Nothobranchius furzeri: one gene and its partner. The protein of the gene in region 2 purifies or fractionates together with the protein of the main gene of each other region. This does not show direct contact. Links are inferred from orthologs where the notes say so. Each region holds a gene or a part of one and is shown on either strand. Other genes may lie near its edges. The genes, in order: atraid and slc37a3.

What was found.
Region 1: the proteins of slc37a3 (region 2) and atraid purify together in Homo sapiens (affinity purification with mass spectrometry; 3 studies listed by BioGRID and IntAct, counting the BioPlex papers as one, with this or other methods). This does not show direct contact. The link is inferred for Nothobranchius furzeri from reciprocal best matches to the Homo sapiens genes SLC37A3 and ATRAID.

Annotation. Positions count from the first base shown.
Region 1 is NC_091742.1:1,494,516-1,497,291, reverse strand, and holds part of atraid (all-trans retinoic acid-induced differentiation factor), read right to left. Parts: intron 2,219-2,776; coding exon 2,150-2,218; intron 1,792-2,149; coding exon 1,720-1,791; intron 1-1,719. UniProt on the Homo sapiens protein: Promotes osteoblast cell differentiation and terminal mineralization. Plays a role in inducing the cell cycle arrest via inhibiting CCND1 expression in all-trans-retinoic acid (ATRA) signal pathway.
Region 2 is NC_091741.1:53,486,661-53,490,588, forward strand, and holds the start of slc37a3 (sugar phosphate exchanger 3), read right to left. Parts: upstream 2,321-3,928; 5' UTR 2,187-2,320; coding exon 2,110-2,186; intron 1,578-2,109; coding exon 1,463-1,577; intron 1,221-1,462; coding exon 1,128-1,220; intron 959-1,127; coding exon 875-958; intron 733-874; coding exon 587-732; intron 507-586; coding exon 410-506; intron 315-409; coding exon 230-314; intron 158-229; coding exon 1-157. UniProt on the Homo sapiens protein: Unlike the other SLC37 members, lacks glucose-6-phosphate antiporter activity.

The DNA of each region.
Region 1 (2,776 bases), on a different chromosome or scaffold from region 2:
TAAATCCAGGACTACAAATACGCTTCACGAAAGTGACGTCATTGAACCAGACACGGAGAAAACTGAGGGAAAAGGGCTGTAAGTTCAGCAAACCTCCCACAGGAGGAAAGAACCACCATAAATCTGGCCATAAATCTGGGGCAACGGTGGCACAGGAGTTAAGTGCTCGCCCCGTAATCGGAAGGTTGCAGGTTCGAGCCCCGCTCAGTCTGTCGCTGTCGTTGTGTCCTTGGGCAAGACACTTAACCCACGTTGCCTGCTGGTGGTGGTCGGAGGGACCGGTGGCGCCAGTGTTCGGCAGCCTCGCCTCTGTCAGTGCGCCCCAGAGCAGCTGTGGCTACATTGTAGCTCATCCCCACCAGTGTATGAATGTGTGTGTGAATGGGTGAATGACTGATTGTGTTGTAAAGCGCCTTGGGGGGTTTCAAGAACTCTAGAAGGCGCTATATCAAATACAGGCCATTTACCATTTACCATTTGGTAAGTAGCAGCTACTTTGGTTAGAGATGATGTGGTGACGTCACGTATGCGACGTGCCGATTTCTGGTTTGTAGTCATGCTAATAACTTTTACAAGCCAAAAAAATCTCAAAGTACATGACAGGCATGGTCGAAATACCCATCATTACTTTTCATTTAAATTGCAGTACAACACATGTGCGATCCAGGGCGTAAGGCAAAGCGGATTAGAAAATAGCGTTTTTAGCCCCACTGACTTGCATTCATTTTTTCGTTTTTCCAGGGACCCGTGATGCGGAAGTAGACTTAGGCTCCCTATAACACGACTTGGACCAAATGCGACAATTGGACCATTCGGTTGTCGATCTCACAAGACCCCCTTACTTCCACATTTCCCTGAGTCCTCCACTCACTAAGCTCTCGTTTAATTAACAGAACATCACTGGTGTGAAAGGTTTGCCGGTCAATAATATATGAAAAGTAAAAACAGCTAGCTGCTACTACTCCAACTTTAGAAAACAAAAGATGCTTGGGCGTAAAAAAACAGCTAGTGGTGTTTAGCAGTATTTAGTTTCCTCTGGAAATGTGGGTTTCCTGTTCTGGCAGACGTGGCCTGGGGATGATAGCCGACAAGAGGAATGAGTGTTCTGTGACCGCATTAGCTTAAAAGCTAGCTCTTTCTGTAAATTTGATATAGCAGCTTTGAAGGTGCATTATGTAGAATTGAAGTAAAAATTACATCCTGGGGTAAAATTTGGTTACTGCAATCATTTTAAACAACTCTGGAGCTTTTTGCCGGCAGTCGTTAAATTACAATTGTTGGCACTGCAGTATTAGCTTGCAGGCGACACAGCAACACCACATCCACTGATGGTAAACAGTAGTTACGTCCCTCTTTCCTTTGTTCTGAAGGGAGAAAAACTGACAATCTCCGCAGCCAGCTGGATATGAAATATGTTTCAGTATAACCTTCCTTCCAAAATGACTGAAACATTACTCTTTTGGGATTTCATCACAGTAAAATTCTCACTATATTCTTACATAGTGCACCTTTACATTTTGTCTTAAAAATCGCAAATATAATCTGGTTTTTAGCATTGTGATGTATCGTATCATCTCTCCTGTATTGTGATAAATATCGTATAGCCAGATTCTTGCCAATACACACCCCTAGAAAAACACTGTAGTTGACTATGCAGGAAAATAAAAGTTCATCACAAATTTGATTCAGTCATAATTATAGATCTCGGCGGATACTTACATGTAATTTAAGTCAAGAAATCCTTGAAACACTTCATCACTGATGTTGATAAGTGGATTGCGTGAGAGATCTCTAAAATACAAACATTTAGACAGTAAAATACTAATAAAACAAAGAAGAGATTATTTTAATTGTGAGGTTTATTGACTTTCGCTATTTATAAAAAACATCAGTTCAAGACATTTTCCAGGAAGAAAAAAGGAAAATATGAAGTTAAAAAAAATGGAAACTTTTCTAAATTTCTGCTTCCTACAAAAATTTGTGTCAGCATCTTTCTAAGAAATTAGCCTCATACATGTTTTAATCCTGGGTTCAGCGAAACAGAACTACAGTACTATCTTATCATTAAAAAGCTTGTACATGCAGAAAAAACTAAGCAACAAAATAATAATCTTTATTTTTCTCCTACTTGTAGTTTGTGTGTACTTACATCATAAACACTGAGGATGCTTCTTGAAGATTGTCCACGTGAGTTAGCGAACAATTGGATAAATCCAACCTGACAAAAAAATATCGTGTTTTAGCACAGAGTAACAAAAAGATCCAGATTTTCTATAATCGTGAATGCTTGACCTTTACAAATTTCCCAACAAAAGGAACAAAGACACTGGCTCGATTAAGATGTGTCCAAACAGACTACAAAACTGTCTTCAATTACTCTTTTATACATCAGTTATAACAATTAGGAATTTTTAGAAAATATTGATACATTGAAATATCGCAGTTGTTGTGTTATACTGAATCAATATTTAAAAGCAATGTATCGAGCTTTTATTAAGAATTTACATGCAAACATTTACTGCATTTCTTTGTGTGGTGCAATTCAAACTCCGACTGCTAGGTGGCAGCAGTTGTTACCACCCTTCTGAAGTAAGAACATATCTCCTGACAAACACTGGAGTCTTGTGGGCCATTCCCATCTGTACCGGGTCGGCCCGGGCCGGGTAGCGTAGGTTGTTTACATATCTGGGTGGTCGGGTATTTTTCCGGGTCAACCAAGGCTCATTCTCAGCCCTCTTCTCGAGGGGGTCTGCTTCAGGCCGACCAGGGCCAACAC
Region 2 (3,928 bases):
TGAGGAGACTCCTCCTGAGGTTCGTCGGGCTGCTGCACTGACGGGAACCGCCTGCTGCACACCTGCACCTCCTCTTCCTCCTCATCACTCATCAGGGGCCTGTGGCTGTCTGAGTCTGCCTCCACTGGGCTAAGTCCAGTTTCTGACTCCACCAAACCTGCCACAAATGAACTCACTGGGTCAACAGCTTCTATGGTTAGGAAACGACACACATTTCTGCCTTTCTTACCAACTTCTTTAGGGGAAGTGAGGAGGCCGAAGAACACCACCACTCCGCCAGCAAACTGCACCACAGATGTCACCAGGAAGGCATACTGCACAGACGATGGAAATATTAGCTCTGAGAGTGTTTTGGCAAAAAAATAAAAAAAATAAAAAAGCTGAAGGTGTGTGTGTGTGTGTCTCACACCTCGTATCCATACTTGAGCACACTAGAAGCCAGGAAGGCTCCCAGTATGTTGCCAACAGAAGCACAGGCGCTCCACAGCCCAAACACAAAACCACGCCTAGAAAAAATAAATAATACATTGAACAAATAAATTTTATAAATCCCTGGTGAGCAGCTGCCTGTAAACTGGTCACAGACCCCGCCTTGCCGAACCAGTTGCCCATGACGGCCACCACGCAGGGCCAGACGGCCGACTGCAGCAGGCCGTTCATCACCCAGAGGCAACAGTACAGATAGATGTTGTAGATGTGGAGCCATTCCGTCAGAGTACCAAACACAAACTCCTGCAAGGAAACACAAATCCCGACTCTCTGAGCGTTTCATTCACATCTGTCAGGAGGTTCATGAGATAGTTTACTAATGAACACGCGTCTTTCAGCAGCAGATAATTAGCATCACAAGAAGCCAACAACATTCAGTTCTGACCACAATAGCAGAGCCGCACAGGCCAAAGCAGAGAACGTAGCGCAGGTTGACTCTGTCTCCTACCACTCCACTCAGATACAGACCCTGTGAGGACGAGAGCAGATAAAACACTGACTTGGTTCAAATTAAAAAGACTCAAAGTTCTTTGCTTGATTTTAATTCCTGCAGAAGGCTGCTGACACTGCTGTCAGGAAGCGTGAGCTAACTTAAACGGCCGCTGAGGATTCTTGTCAACATGTTCTGGTTGACTCACCACTGCGTAAGAGAAGAGGAAGATCGAATCCAGAGCTCCCAGAAATAGAGTAGCCTGCTTTTCATCAGCAAAAAGGCGATTGTCCTCCCATGTCTGGACAGAAAACACACCAAATTAAACAGTTTATCTAAAAATAAAAATAAATTAGCTAAAAGGAACCTTTCTGATGCATAATTACATTTCTGGATGCTCTAGGTATAAAAACGTTTTTTCCTGAACTTTAGCTTTCCAATCATGCCTTCTGAAGTGTCAAATTAGGAAAACAGCCATGCGTCGCCACTGAGTGGCCATTTTTTAAATAAAAAATGATTTTAATTGGACGTTTTGATCATTACTTGACTGGGGGAGAACGCGGGTATGCTGTCGTTCTGGATGGAGGGTGTCCACTGAGCAGAGATGCTCACTTTCACGTTGCTAAACGTCTTCCTGGATGCATGGAGCAACACATAGCTGCAAAAAGACAAAACATGGCAAAACATTTAAAGTTTAAGTCATTCTGTGTTTAATTTGGCTGCACATTAAACAGTACTGATCATCCTTGCTGCTCTAACAGCATCTAGGTCACCTCACTCTGACGACCTTTAACCCATTTTGCACAAGCTACGTTTAAATTATTGATCGTCTTTTATGGAGCTTATTAGAAATATTGAAATTAGCAAAATATAAACTGAAAATAGTAAAAAAAAAAAAAAGCATAAAAAATACATCTCATGGGTTCTAATTACTATGCTTACACCCAGAAAAGCAACTGGAGGAGGACGTTATCATTAGAGCCAAAGAGCTGCATTGTGGGAGCTTATCTCCTGTTGGTGATAAGGATGGGTTTAACTAGAGCTACAAACTCAAATATGGTGGAGAAAAAGAGACACGGAAGCATCTCAAGAATCAATGAATGGATTTAAAAAAATGGATCTGTGCTGTCAAGAAAGCAGAAACATTTGTTTTATTGATGCTGGCAAACCCAGTGACCTCTCCAGATTACCTAAAGAAGGTGAGGAGAAAGACAACCAGATGATGATGGGTGTACTGTGACAGATAGCCACAGTACGAGGGAGGCATCACGGGGTGGGCGAAGGGAGGAAGAGGAGGATGAGGAAGGAGGTGGTGCTGGCTGGAGGTCTTTGAGAAATATGTGGAGAGGTTCAACTAGGATGCTCCGCTAAACCAGATGGGACAAACACATCACTACGGGAGGGACGAGGAGCCTGCAGAGGAATGAAGTCAACGTTAAATGAAATAGTTGATCTGGTATCTTGACACGTTTTTGAGGACTTCATCAATTCATGCATGAATGCACAGGTTCAGGTACGATGACGAGTGCTGCCTCGTGGAAAGCAGCCGTCTTCCTGTGCTTTTTACGGACACCTGGTCTGAATGCCTCCTTGTGAACGGCCATGAGCAGCAATCAAAGAGGCCAGTGTGTTGGCATTTAGAAGCATCCCCCACCAGAGGGTCCAGCAGCAACTCGCTTTGCTGCTTTTATAAAACTCTCAGAACCTCCTGTGGGGTTTTAGTTCTCAAGCAGCACGATTTTACTCTAGATGATGATCAAGGTTAGATTAAACCCGATGCTTGCATCATTTATTAAGTGTCTTTGTTATTGTGTAACTGCTGATAAATGGGTTGGACAAGAACACAATGTGAGGATTAAAATAAACAGTTCATTAGCTTTTGTATAATCAACACACCTAGAAACCGGCTGTTCTTATTAGGTTCCTATGTGTTTATTACTTCAAACTGCGTACTGAACTGATTGAAATATTAACAGAAACACGTCTGAAGCTAAAGGTCAAACAAAACACGATTTTTTTAATCTATGGACCCTTTTCGTGTCGTTCAACAGACGTTACTATGGCAACTATAACTAAGCCATTGTGTGAGTCGTTTAAGTTAAACTACTGTCATTAGTATGTAGTCTGTTTAAAAAATTTCATTCAACGATTTATTTTCTTTTTTGGGAATTTGAAGAAGGAAACTGTCATATATGTTACCGCGTTGGGTCAGGGCAGGCTAAACCGCAACGGACCATAAGTTCCGGGACCGTCAAACACATAAATGAGAATAAAATTGTTGAAAAAATAAAAATAAAAACACGGTGAGTTCCTACCTTTAGAACCGTTCGCTCGGAGCTTGGCTGAATCTGTTGTGTTTACTGTGGATGTGTCATTAACGCTAGCAGAGCGCTCAGCGCGGCGCGCTGCTGCCCCTACAGGACAGGAGGAAAAATCCAAGTGTTACATCAAAATGTTTCCCCTAGAAACATTGTCCCCCTCACCCGTCTTTCTCGCTCCGTCTCCAGTGGCGTGTCCAGATCTTTTAAAATGGGGTGGCCCAGGTGAGGCACACCTTTGTGCAAGGGTGGCACCAATGGTTATGCTTTTTTTGTTTTACCCCCCAAGCCTTTTGTGGACAATGAAAAGCCTATTTAAAGGTAAATTAGTGTGGTGGCACCTGGGGTGGCCAATAAGATTCCAAGGGTGGCATGTGCTACCCCAGGCCACTCCCTGGACATGCCCCTGCCGTCTACCCCATAAATTTTGAAGAAACAACAGCCAAATCTCTCACATCGAGATTCACAGGCTTACACGCCACAGCTCTTATTTGTTACACTGATAAAGGAAATGTTATTTTACCTGAGCTAAACGTTATGTTGCACTGCTGATGCTGTAGCGGAGGACAAACTCAGAAGACGGAAATTGACGCCAACCAGTGGCAACAAGTTGGAACTACACTCTACTCTGATAAACCATTTAGATTAGATTTATTTTAGCCTTTTCATCCAAATGAAGCTGAAAAATATT